Linked DNA regions of Anolis sagrei. The protein of the gene in region 1 interacts with the protein of each later gene in a biochemical or structural test. Links are inferred from orthologs where the notes say so. Each region holds a gene or a part of one and is shown in the gene's direction. Other genes may lie near its edges.

Region 1 (7,111 bases):
ATAAATTTATTATTATTATTACAACAGTCTCGCTTATCCGATGTTCCGTCTCATTCGACACTCTTATCCAATGCCCCCCCCCTTTCCTCCAGCATTTAACCTTCAATTGAAGGAGCGCTCACCAACTCTCTCCATTCCCAATAAGTGAAAAAAGTAAGACGAGGAGGAGGAGGTCCTCTAAATTTCATGCTCCTCTTCCGAATCCGGGCACTTCCTGCTTAGCCGCTCTATCCCTGAGGCATTGCCTTGCCTTAACCCTTTGAATCACCGTTGTTAGTATTCTAGATGTCTAATGGATGGCTAACAGTAGGAGATTCCATTATTATGCAACATTTTTGTTTATCCAACATTCTTCTGGCCTGTTTATGTCGAATAAGCGAGACTCTACTGTATTGTTGAAGTCTTTCATGGCTGGAATCTCTGGGTTGTTGTAGGTTTTTTGGGCTGTATGGCCATGATCTAGAAGCATTCTCTCCTGACGTTTCACCTGCATCTATGGCAGGTATCCTCAGAGGTTGTGAGGTCTGTTGGAAACTAGGGAAATTGGGGTATTATATCTGTGGAAAGGAACATGAAAGGCACTGCAGACTATTTCAACCAGAGAAGTCAGCTATAGCAGAGCACCTAATGAATCAACCTGGACATAGTATATTATTTGAGAACACAGAAATGCTGAGCACTTTAACAACTACCATGTCAAGTTACACAGAGAAGCCACTGAAATCCACAAGCATGTGATCAATTTCAACAGAAAGGAGGAACCATAAAAATGAACAAAATCTGGCTACCAGTATTTAAAAAATCAGGATAGTAAATAAAGAACAAAAATAAAAAAGAAACAATCAGGGACACTAATTGCCTCTCAACAAAGGATTCCCCCAGGCAGTAAGAAGCCAGACCTTGAAAACCACTAGGCCATTAAATGCTAATCAAGGTAGCCAATTGAAACATTAACACCCACTGCACCACTGGGGGCTCCAACTGAGCAGAAATTGGGAGTCCTGCAGCAAGCAGGGACCAGCGGAAGGCAGAAAAATCCCCCTTGGGAAGGCTGCTGAGTCTGAGACTGCTATCCTTTCAAGGGGTCCTGAGGATTCGCAAAATGCCTGGTGAGCTATTAAAGCCAGTAAGATTTTCCCTTTCCCCAAATAATTCTCACCAGGTTGAAGAAAGGCCACCAAAGTTTATTTCTATTCCAGTTGGAAAGGTTGGGGTTTCAATATCACAGATATAGTAAAGGTAAAGGTTTTCTCTTGACAGTAAGTCCAGGCGTGTCCGACTCTGGGGGTTGGTGGCCATCTCCATTTCTAAGTCGAAAGGCTGGCGTTGTCTGTAGACACCTCCAAGGTCATGTGGCTGGCATGACTGCAAGGAGCACCGTTACCTTCCTGCTGTAGTGGTACCTATTGATCACCTCACATTTGCATGTTTTCAAACTGTTAGGTTGGCAGAAGCTGGGGCTGACAGCAGAAGCTGTCGAATCCCCGGATTCGATCCTGCAACCTTTCGGTCAACAAGCTCAGCGCTTTAACCCACTGTGCCACTGGGAGTTCCTTATCTGTGTCACAGATTTAGAAACACACTTTTCCTAGTTTCCAACAGACCCCTCAACCTCTGAGGATTTTTTTTTATCATGTAAGAAGTGACTTGAGAAACTGCAAGTTGCTTCTGGTGTGAGAGAATTGACCATTTACAAGGACATTGCCCAGGGGACACCTGGATGTTTTGATTTTTTTTACCATCCTTGTGGGAGGCTTCTCGCATGAGGAGCTGGAGCTGATAGAGAGAGCTCATCCACGTTCTCTCTGGATTCGAACCTGCGACCTGTGGTTTAACCCACTGCGCCACCGGGGGCTCCTCTGAGGATGGCTGTCATAGATGCAGGCGAAACGTCAGGAGACCCGCCTACCTGCGTGACCGCATCTCCGCTTACAAACCCACACGCTCACTTCGTTCATCCGGAGAGGCCCTGCTCGCGATCCCACCTGCGTCGCAGGCGCGTTTGGTGGGGTCGAGGGACAAGGCCTTCTCTGTGGTTGCCCCCCGACTTTGGAACACCCTCCCCAAAGACATTAGACTTGCACCCACGTTGGCAGTCTTTAGGAAGAACTTGAAGACCTGGCTATTCCGATGTGCCTTTCCAGAATAGGATAACCTCCAGCACCTTGTCCCAGAAGCACTTTACTAGAGTTTAATACTCTCTGCACATTGCACTTGCCCAGAACTCCAACATACCACCTCTCACATCCAGCACCTTTTTTAACCTGAACCCTTCATTGGCCTGGCCCTGATTTTATTGTATAATAGTGTAATGTTTTGTTGTGTTATTGCTTATGTTTTAATTTGCTTGCATCGTTATTGTCTGTTGTTGTTATGTTGAGGCCTTGGCCTTTGTAAGCCGCATCGAGTCCTTCGGGAGATGCTAGCGGGGTACAAATAAAGTTTAATAATAATAATTAATAAAAATGCTTCTGGAACATGGCCATACAGCCAAAAAACCTAGAACAACCCAGAGACTGGACTGTATTATTATAATAACCAAACAACAAACAATCAATAGCGGAGAAAAGTGGGTATGTGCAGATTTGAGGGCGGAAGAGAACTAGAGTAAAGTTATTAGGTTCTTGTGGGGTTTTTCGGGCTATAGGGCCATGTTCTAGACGTTTCGCCTGCATTTATGGCAAGCATCCTCAGAGGTAGTGAGGTCTGTTGGAATTAGGACAAACGCACCAAACACAGCGCCCAAACACAAATCAAGGAACATGAAAGGCACTGCAGACTACTTCAACCAGAGAAGTCAGCCATAGCAGAGCACCTGATGAACCAGCCTGGACACAGCATATTATTTGAGTACACAGAAATGCTGGACCACACCAACAATCACCATGTCAGACTACACAGAGAAGCCATTGAAATCCACAAGCATGTGATCAATTTCAACAGAAAGGGAGACCATGAAAATGAACAAAATCTGGTTACCAGTATTAAAAAAACTCTAAAATTACAACAGCAAAACAGCAGAGAGGAAACAACCAGGCACATCTTAGCACCTCTCAACAAAAGGTTTTCCCAGGCTCAGCCAGGCCTTCAAATGCTAATGAAGGTGGTCAGCTGAAACATTCACACCTAGCCCTAGCAGAGAAGAGCTCTTTGCCCCACCCCAGCCATTCCACAGATATATAAACCCATTTTCCTATTTCCAGAAAAGTGGGTATGTGCAGATTTGAGGGCGGAACAGGACTAGAGTAAAGTTGTTGTTATTATTATTTGGAAGTAAACGAAAACAAATCCCTCAATTTTCTGGGGTTTTTTCCCCTCCCAGACCTCCCCTCTCCTTCTCCCTCTCTCACCCGCCTTCCTCCTCTTCTTGTCCGCCCCCGGAGCCGCCGCCTCCTCCGTCTCCTTCTCCCCCGCTTGGCTCGGCCCCACCGCGGCCAGGCTCCTCCATCCCGCCGCCTCCTCCTCCTCCTCCTCTTGGGCCTGGGCCCGCCCTCGGCCTCTCCTCGGCGCGCCGGAAGTGCCGCGGGCGTGACGTCGCAAGAGCGCGCGGGGTAGAGAAAGAGAGCATAGCCAGGCCTTTAGTGATGACGCGTCGGTGGTTGCCAAGGCGACGGCGGAGGAAGCCGTCCCCGCCCCAATAGGAGCGATGGCGAGGGAGGGAGGGAGCCGAGGAGGGAACCAAAGAACTCCAGCTCCGCCCCTTGACCTGAGAAGAGGCCCCGAGCCCTTCTCCTTGGGACACAAAGCCGTTCTCGGAGGAACTGACGGGCGGAGGGAGAGAGGGAAGGAGGGAGAGGCGCAGCGGTGACTCGGCAAGCGCGTGACGTCATCAGTGCCTGCCACGCACGGCCTCTCACCCTTCACCCCGGATGCCTCCGCGGAGGGAAATAGTCCCTCGGTAATCTGCTGCTAGAGGACGCCTCGCTTATTAGTCAGGGAAGGGGAGGAAGGGAGGCCGCGGCGGGGCTTCTCCGGAAGGGGAACGAGTAAGGAAAGAAGGAAAGACGGGCCAGAGAGAGGTAGAGAGAGAGCCTGAGTGAGATCCGGCACGGTATCCTTCCGCCTGCGGGAGCGGTGCTGAGGCCGCGCCGCCGCCATTTTGGATGCCAGGCTGCTGGTTCTACCGCCGCTGCCGCCGCCGCCTTTGCCGCCGGGACCCGGCCCGGTGAGTGAGCGAGGGAGCCGGGGAGGGAGCCGGGGCCCGGAGGAGGCAGGAAGGGGAGGACCCGCCAGGAAGGAAGGAAGGGAGGGAGGGGAACACTGGGCCCTGCCCGGCCCTGCCTGGCCGGGTCGGAGTTGGGCCTCACCGTCAGGTCCCTTGCTGCAGGGAACTCTTCTCCCCTCCACTGTCTTCCCTCCCTCGCGCCCTCCTGGCTGAGAAGGCCTTCCTCTTGAAGGCAGAAAGCTGTCAAAGCCAATCCTGGTCATTTTTTATATACAAGCCGTCCCCGGGTTGCAAACACCTGACTTACAAACGTGTCCTAGGTCAAACGAAGCTCAGACAACAGGAAGTGGGAGGAACCCACTCCATTATATTAGTTCTATCTGTCATATAGTAGTCCCAGAGTTGCAAATGACTCCTAGTTCAAAACCTGGCTGAGACAACAGGAAGTAAAAGGAATCTTCCCCTCAGAAGGAAGGGAAATCCACTCCCGGAAGAGTCATCATCAGGGGGAAAGACTGGGTGGCCTTTGGGGGTTCCTTCCAAATTTATGATACTAGTTCTATCTGTCATATGGTAGTCCCAGAGTTGCAAACATCCGACTCACGAATGACTCCTAGTTAAAAACCTGGCCGAGACAACAGGAAGTGAGAGGAATCGGAAGGAAGGGAAATCCACTCCCGGAAGAGTCATTGTCAGGGGGAAAGACTGGGTGGTCTTTGGGGGTCCCTTCCAAATTTAGAATACTAGTTCTATCTGTCATATGGTAGTCCCTGAGTTACAAACATCTGACTTAAATGACTCCTGGTTAAAAATCTGGATGAGACAACAGGAAGTGAGAGGAATCGGAAGGAAGGGAAATCCACTCTCGGAAGAGTAATCATCAGGGGGAAAGACTTTGGGAGTCCCTTCCAAATTTATGATACTAGTTCTATCTGTCATATGGTAGTCCTAGAGTTGCAAACATCCGACTTACAAATGACTCCTAGTTAAAAACCTGGCTGAGACAACAAGAAGTGAGAGGAATCTTCCCCTCGGAAGGAAGGGAAATACACTCCCGGAAGAGTCATCATCAGGGGGAAGACTGGGTGGTCTTTGGGGGTCCCTTCCAAATTTATGATACTAGTTCTATCTGTCATATGGTAATCCCTGAGTTACAAACATCTGACTTAAATGACTCCTGGTTAAAAACCTGGCTGAGACAACAGGAAGTGAGAGGAATCGGAAGGGAAATCCACTCTCGGAAGAGTCATCATCAGGGGGAAAGACTGGGTGGTCTTTGGGGGTCCCTTCCAAATTTATGATACTAGTTCTATCTGTCATATGGTAGTCCCTGAGTTGCAAACATCTGACTTACAAATGACTGCTAGTTAAAAACCTGGCTGAGACAACAAGAAGTGAGAGCAATCTTCCCCTCGGAAGGAAGGGAAATCCACTCCCGGAAGAGTTATTGTCAGGGGGAAAGACTGGGTGGTCTCTGGGGGTCCCTTCCAAATTTATGATACTAGTTCTATCTGTCATATGGTAGTCCCTGAGTTACAAACATCTGACTTACAAATGACTCCTAGTTCAAAACAGGGCTGAGACAACAGGAAGTGAGAGGAATCTTCCCCTCGGAAGGAAGGGAAATCCACTCTCGGAAGAGTCATTGTCAGGGGGAAAGACTGGGTGGCCTTTGGGGGCCCCTTCCAAATTTATGATACTAGTTCTATCTGTCATATGGTAATCCCTGAGTTGCAAACATCCGACTTACAAATAACTCCTAGTTAAAAGCCTGGCTGAGACAACAAGAGCAATCTTCCCCTCGGAAAGAAGGGAAATTTACTCTTGGAAGAGTCAGGGGGAAAGACTGGGTGGCCTTTGGGGGTCCCTTCCAAATTTATGGTACTAGTTCTATCTGTCATATGGTAGTCCCTGAGTTACAAACATCCGACTTACAAATGACTCCTCGTTAAAAACGCGACTGAGACAACAAGATGTGAGAGCAATCTTTCCATTGGAAGAAAGGGAAATCCACTCTCGGAAGAGTCATCATCAGGGGGAAATACTGGGTGGTCTTTGGGGATCCCTTCTAAATTTATGATACTAGTTCTATCATAAATCACACACATGCACCTACAGGTAGTCCCTGAGTTTAAAACATCTGACTTACAAATGACTCCTAGTTAAAAACGAGGCTGAGACAACAGGAAGTGAGAGGAATCTTCCTCTCGGAAGGAAGGAAAATCCTCTCCTGGAAGAGTCATCATCAGGGGGAAAGACTGGGTGGTCTTTGGAGGTCCCTTCCAAATTTATGATACTAGTTCTATCTGTCATATGGTAGTCCCTGAGTTACAAACATCTGGCTTACTAATGACTCCTAGTTAAAAAAACCTGGCTGAGACAACAGGAAGTGAGAGGAATCTTCCTCTCGGAAGGAAGGGAAATCCACTCTCGGAAGATTCATCGTCAGGGGGAAAGACTGGGTGGCCTTTAGGGGTCCCTTCCAAATTTATGATACTAGTTCTATCTGTCATATGTGTGTATCACACACATGCACCTACAGGTAGTCCCTGAGTTTAAAACATCTGACTTACAAATGACTCCTAGTTAAAAACGGGGCTGAGACAACAGGAAGTGAGAGGAATCTTCCTCTCGGAAGGAAGGGAAATCCACTCTCGGAAGAGTCATTGTCAGACTGGATGGCCTTTGGTGTCCCTTCCAAAATTGTGATACTGTATCTATCTCCCATGTATATGTGTGTGTGTCAGGCATGGGTAAACTTTGGCCCTCCAGGTGTTTTGGACTTCAACTCCCACAATTCCTAACAGCCACTGTCAGGAATTGTGGGAGTTGAAGTCCAAAACACCCAGAGAGCCAAAGTTTACCCATGTCTGTACACACACACACATACAGGTAGTCCCTGAGTTACAAACATCCATAACACCTGGAGGGCCGAAGTTTGTCCAT
Region 2 (7,012 bases), on another chromosome or scaffold:
CGTTTCATCAGCAACCATACCATTGTATTACAATTCTAACAGAGCAAAACAAACACACAGATTGAAAAGAAAAAGATTTTGCAAATTTGGTAGTTGGTTAAATGTCCTTTGACCAGTATCTGGCCACTTGGAGTGCCTCTGTGTCCTCCATCGTGCATGTGGCTGGGCTCAGGGTGCATTGCAGCAGGTGGTCAGTGGTTTGTTCTTCTCCGCACTCGCATGTTGTGGATTCCACTTTGTGGCCCCATTTCTGAAGATTGGCTCTGCATCTCGTGGTGCCAGAGCGCAGTCTGTTCAGGGCCTTCCAAGTCGCCCAGTCTTCTGTGTGCCCAGGGGGGAAGTCTATCATCTGGTATCACCCATGGATTGAGGTACTGGGTTTGGGCCTGCCACTTTTGGACTCTTGCTTGCTGGGGTGTTCCAGCGAGTGTCTCTGTAGATCTAAGAAAACTATGTCTTGATTTGAGTCGTTGACGTGCTGGATGATACCCAAACGGGGATGAGCTGGAGATGTCTCTGCCTTGGTCCTTTCACTATTGGCTGCTACTTCCCGGCGGATGTCAGGTGGTGCAATACCGGCTAAGCAGTGTAATTTCTCCTGTGGTGTGGGGCGCAGACACCCCGTGATAATGCGGCATGTCTCATTAAGAGCCACATCTACTGTTTTAGTGTGGTGAGATGTGTTCCACACTGGGCATGCGTACTCAGCAGCAGAGTAGCATAGCGCAAGGGCAGATGTCTTCACTGTGTCTGGTTGTGATCCCCAGGTTGTGCCAGTCAGCTTTCGTATGATGTTGTTTCTAGCGCCCACTTTTTGCTTGATGTTCAGGCAGTGCTTCTTGTAGGTCAGAGCACGGTCCAAAGTGACTCCCAGGTATTTGGGTGTGTTGCAATGCTCCAGTGGGATTCCTTCTCAGGTAATCCTCAGAGCTCGGGATGCTTGTCTGTTCTTAAGGTGAAAGGCGCATGTCTGTGTTTTAGATGGATTAGGGATCAGTTGGTTTTCCCTGTAATAGGCAGTAAGAGCACCTAGAGCTTCGGAGAGCTTCTGTTCTACCATCTCAAAGCTCCCTGCTTGAGCAGTAATGGCACGATCATCAGCATAGATGAAACTCTCTGTCCCTTCTGGCAGTGGCTGGTCATTTGTGTAGATGTTGAACATGGATGGAGCAAGCATGCTCCTCTGAGGCAGGCCGTTCTTCTCTTTCCGCCATCTGCTTCTCTGGCCCTGGGACTCAACAAAAAAGCTCCTGTTTTGTAGCAGGTTTCCTATGAGGCGGGTGAGGTGGTCGTCCTTTGTGATATTATACATTTTTCTCAAGAGGAGGCAATGGTTCACAGTATCATAGGCTGCTGACAGGTCTATGAAGACAGCTCCTGTGATCTGCTGCCTTTCAAAGCCATCTTCTATGTGCTGAGTCAGGTTCAGCACTTGCGATGTGCAGCTTTTGCCTTTTCTGAAGCCATCTTGCTGTGGAATCAGACAGGGGTCTATTTTTTCCGCAATTCTATGCAAAATAAGTCTCTCCAGAACTTTGTAGAGGTGGCACAACAGGGAGATTGGTCTGTAGCTTTTTGGGTCATTACGGTCTTTGCCTGGCTTCAAGATGGCGATGACTCTTGCTTTCCTCCAGATTTTGGGGATCTGACAGGATGCAGTGCAGTTGTTCATCAGCTCCAGCAGCCAGCGCCTTGCTTTTGGACCAAAGTTCTTGATTTGTTCCATCCGTAGATCATCCAGGCCAGCTGCTTTGCCATTCTTACATTTGTTGAGAGCCATGTCCAATTCTGTAGATGTAAAAGGTTCATGAAGGTTGTTGAAGGGGCAGAATATCAAGGAGGTGCAATTCCCTTGGTGGCCAGGTGATGGCAGAAAATGATTGCCCATTGCAGCTGGGGAGTCCTATTGGCTTTAATGAAGAGGCAGAATATCAAGGAGGATGCAATTCCCTCTGTGTATACAAATATGCATATGCACATTTATATATACATATATATGTAGGTGTATACATGTATGCATGTGTACATATACACATATACACACATATATGTAGGTGTATATATGCATATAGAGGTAGGTATATACATATATGCATGTGTACACACACATATATACACATATATGTAGGTATCCCTCGTAGACCGAGGATGACGGTCCTCCAAGTGTAGTATCCTGGCAGTGGGTCCGTAGGTGACTGTGGAGCCCTATTCTTGATCTGCATGTTCTCCCACTGTGAGGGCATCGGTTTCCAGGTGGAAAGCGGTCCCGGTCGGGGTTGGCTTGACGCGCCTTCCTCTTGGCACGTTTCTTTCTTTTGCCCTCAATTCGTGCCTCTTCAAATTCTGCAGCACTGCTGGTCACAGCTGACCTCCAACTGGAGTGCTCAAGGGCCAGGGCTTCCCAGTTCTCAGTGTCTATGCCAGAGTTTTGAAGGTTGGCTTTGAGCCCATCTTTCAATCTCTTTTCCTGTCCTCCAACATTCCGCTTTCCGTTCTTGAGTTCAGAACAGAAGGGATATATGCATATAAATGTAGGTGTATACATGTATGTAGGAACCTCCAGTGGCGCAGTAGGTTAAAGCGCTGAGCTGCTGAGCTTGTTGACCAAAAGGTCGCAGGTTCGAATCCTGGGAGCGGCATGATCTCCCGCTGTTAGCCCCAGCTTCTGCCAACCTAGCAGTTTGAAAACATGCAAATGTGAGTAGATCAATAGGTACCTCTCTGGCCTGGAAGGTAAGGGTGCTCCATGCAGTCATGCCAGCCACATGACCTTTGAGGCGTCTATGGACAACGCCGGCTCTTTGGCTTAGAAATGGAGATGAGCACCAGAGTCCCAGAGTTGGACACCATTGGACTTCATGTCAGGGGAAACCTTCACCTTTACTATACATATATGCATGTGTACATATACACACATATATACACATATATGTAGGTATATATACACATAGATGTAGGTCTATACATGTATGCATGTGTACATATACACAGATATAGGTAGGTGTAAATATATATATATGTAGGTGTATACATATATGCATGTGTACATATACACATATAAACGCACATATATGTAGGTGTCTATATACATATATATGTAGTTGTATACATATATGCATGTGTACATATACACATATATGTAGGTGTCTATATACATATATATGTAGGTGTATACATATATGCATGTGTACATATATACATATATGTAGGTATATATACACATACATGTAGGTCTATACATGTATGCATGTGTATATATACAGAGATATAGGTAGGTGTAAATATATATATATATATATGTGTAGGTGTATACATATATGCACGTGTACATATACACACATATACACATATATGTAGGTGTCTATATACATATATATGCAGGTGTATACATGTATGAATATGTACATGTATACATATATGCATGTGTACATATACACATATACTCAAATTTATGTAGGTGCATACATATATGCATGTGTACACGTACACACATATATGTAGGTATTTATATGTAGACATATACACATACGTAAATATATATGAAAACGCATATATGCAGGTGTGTGTATACGTGCATATACATATGTGCATATGTACATATCGTATCCTATCCGATTTGTCCTCTATCCACTCCTTTGAGCTTCATGCAAATCTACCATTTTTCCAAAATATAAGACCTAAACATACAGAAATGTAGAGATGAGTGAAATTAACCTGAGCGGCTGTCAGGCATTGTGGGAACTGAAGTCCAACACGCCTGCTCTCCAGGCTCTCTGTGGGGCTCTTCCTGGTTGTTCAAACTCCAACTCCCAGAATCCTTTGGCGCGCCGGCGAATGGCGAGGCCTGCCGGGAGCTGAAGTCCAAGGCGCCTGAGAGGCCAGGCTGCTTTCGCCCCGCCCCTTTTCCCCGCTTCCGCTCAGGAGGCGAGGAGGCCGGAAGTGAGCGCGCTGACAGGAGCCGGGCAAGATGGCGCTGCGGCCGGGCCTGGGGGCTGGGCCCGGCGCTCCCTCCGCCGCCTCTCCTCCGGCGCCGGGCGGACCGGGAGGAGGAGGAAGGAGCCCCGGCCCGGGCAGGTCAGCAGGCCCAGGCGGGCAGGAGGGAGGCGGGAAGGGAGAGGCTTTGAAGGGAGGAGGCCTTGAAGGGAGAAGGCATTAGATGGAGAAGGCCTTGAAGGGAAGGGAGAAGGCCTCAACAGGAGAAAGCCTTGGAGGGAGAAGGTCTTGAAGGGAGAAAGCCTTGGAGGGAGAGGCTTTGAAGGGAAGGGAGAAGGCCTCGAAAGAAGAAGGTCTTGGAGAGAAAAGGCCTCGGAAGGAGAAAGTCTTGGAGAAGGCCTTGAAGGGGAGAGGCTTTGGAGGGAGAGGGTCTCAAAGGGAGGAGGCCTCGATGGGAAGGGAGAATAATAATAATAATATCGAACTGCAAAGATTCTGGCACAAACCAGTCAAGGTGGTCCCAGTGGTGACTGTCACACTGAGTGCAGTGCCTAAAGACCTTGGCCTGCACTTAAACACAATCGGCACTGACAAAATTATCATCTCTCCGAACGTATTCTCCCCTACGAACCATCAAGATTATTAAGATCATCTGGAGAGGCCCTGCTCTCGGTCCCACCAGCCTCGCAAGCGCACCTGGTGGGGACGAGGGACAGGGCCTTCTCGGTGGTGGCCCCGCGACTCTGGAACTCTCTCCCTCTGGAGGCCAAAACCGCCCCATCCATCCTAACATTTAGGAAACGGGTGAAGACGTGGCTGTGGAGTCAGGCCTTTGAGGAATGAGACAACACCATAGGACCCTGGATGGAAGCTGATGTAGATCCATCTTAATAGGACGACTGACCACTGTAGTTTTATATATAGTGTTTTTAAAGTTGTTTTTGTAATTGTGATATATGATATTTTAATGAGTGTATATGTTTTTTATGGCTGGAAACCGGGCTGAGTCCCTCAATGAGGTTGAGAAGCTCGGTATAGAAAACTGTGAAATAAATAATAAATAAATCTGCCAGCTGCAGAAGGCTACCTTACTGGGATCTGCACGCATTACTTGCCAATACATCACACAGTCCGACGTGTGATCCAATACAACAGCCAGCAGAGTGTCTGCTGTGGACTCATCTTGTTGTGTTTCAAATAATAATCATAATCATATATATATATATATATTGTCATGTCAGGAGCAACCGTTCCTGTTGTGAGAGAATTGGACGTCTGCAAGGACGTTGCCCAGGGGACGCCTGGATGATTTGTGATACTTTATCATCCTTGTGGGAGGCTTCTCTCATGTCCCCACATGAGGAGCTGGAGCTAACAGAGGGAGCTCATCCGCTTCTCCCCGGATTCGAACCTGCGACCTGTCAGTCTTCAGTCCTGCCAGCACAGTGCTTTAACCCACTGCACCACCGGGGGCTCCTAATAATAAAACTTTATTTATACTCCGCCACCATCTCCCCAACGGGCTAACATGAGGCCAATCCCAAAGAATTACAACAAATCAAAACAAAATACATACAGCAATTAATAACATCAAATGAAATATAAACAAAACAACTTAATACAAAATCAACATTTATTTATTTATTTACCGCATTTATATGCCGCCCTTCTCACCCCAAAGGGGACTTAGAGCGGCTTACAAAATATATTTTCACACAATATATTATATTATTAGTATAGAACAATATCAGTATTATATATTACTATATTGCACTATACTGTTATATTGTATAATACACAAAAATGAAATAAGAAAACAAAAATGAGAAGGCCTCGAAGGGAGAAGGCCTTGGATAACCCAGAGGGTTCTTCTTCCCACTGCTTCTTCTTCATCCTGGAAAGAAGTGACAAGCAGAGTGCCACAAGCAGGGTTCCTTCCTGGGCCCAGTCCTGCTCAGGATCTTCATTCATGACTGAGATCCATGGTTCTCAAACTGTGGGTCTCCAGATGGCTGGGATTTCTGGGAATTGTAGGTCAAAACACCTAGGGACCCACAGGTTGAGAACCACTGACTTAGATGAAGGGTTAGAAGGCAGGATCATCGAGTTTGCAGATGACACCAAATTGGGAGAGATAGCCAATAATCCAGAAGACAGGAGCAGGATTCAAAACTATCTTAACAGATTAGAGAGATGAATGGCCAAAACTAACACAATTAAGTTCAACAGGGACAAATGTAAGATACTCCACTTAGGCAGGAAAGAAAGGAAATGCAGAGATACAGAATGGAGGACGAGGCCTGGCTCGACAGCAGGACCTGTGGAAAAGATCTTGGAGTCCTTGTGAGGAGGAAGGGGAACAGGAGCCAAGAACATGATGCAGTGGCAAAAAAGCCAATGGGATTTTGGTCTGCATCAATAGGAGTCTAGTGCCTTGATCCAGGGATGTCATGCTCCCCATGATCTATTCTGCCTTGGTTAGACCGCACGGGAATACTGTGTCCAATTCTGGGCACCACAATTGAAAGGAGATGTTGACAAGCTGGAATGTGTCCAGAGGAAAGCGACTAAAAGGACCAAGGGTCTGGAGAACAAGCCTTATGAGGAGCGGCTTAAAGAGCTGGGCATATTTAGCCTGCAGAAGAGAAAACTGAGAGGAGACGTGATAGCCATGTATAAATAAGTGAGAGGAAGTCATAGGGAGGAGGGAGCAAGCTTATTTTCTGCTGCCCTGGGGATTAGGATACAATGGCTTCAAACTACAAGAAAGTAGATTCCATCTGAACATGAGGAAGAACTTCCTGATTGTGAGAGCCGTTCAGCAGTGGAACTCTCTGCCCCGGAGTGTGGTGGAGGCTCCTTCTTTGGAGGATTTTAAACAGAGGCTGGGTGGCCATCTGTCAGGGATGCTTTGAATGCAATTTTCCTGCTTCTTGGCAGAATGGGGTTGGACTGGATGGCCCATGAGGTCTCTTCCAACTCTAGGATTCTATTATTCTAAGGCCTTGAAGGGAGAAGACCTTGAAGGGAAGGGAGAAGGCCTTTTCTTTAACTTTGGCTATAATTAATAAGAATGGTT

What was found. The genes of interacting proteins can lie anywhere in the genome.
Region 2: the proteins of AP1G1 (region 1) and SYNRG form a complex in vitro, tested with the Homo sapiens proteins (2 studies listed by BioGRID). The link is inferred for Anolis sagrei from reciprocal best matches to the Homo sapiens genes AP1G1 and SYNRG.

What each region holds. Positions count from the first base shown.
Region 1 is NC_090028.1:29,558,035-29,565,145, forward strand, and holds the start of AP1G1 (AP-1 complex subunit gamma-1), read left to right. Parts: upstream 1-4,069; 5' UTR 4,070-4,165; intron 4,166-7,111. UniProt on the Homo sapiens protein: Subunit of clathrin-associated adaptor protein complex 1 that plays a role in protein sorting in the late-Golgi/trans-Golgi network (TGN) and/or endosomes.
Region 2 is NC_090031.1:24,068,122-24,075,133, reverse strand, and holds the start of SYNRG (synergin gamma), read left to right. Parts: upstream 1-3,923; 5' UTR 3,924-3,967; coding exon 3,968-4,074; intron 4,075-7,012. UniProt on the Homo sapiens protein: Plays a role in endocytosis and/or membrane trafficking at the trans-Golgi network (TGN). May act by linking the adapter protein complex AP-1 to other proteins. Component of clathrin-coated vesicles.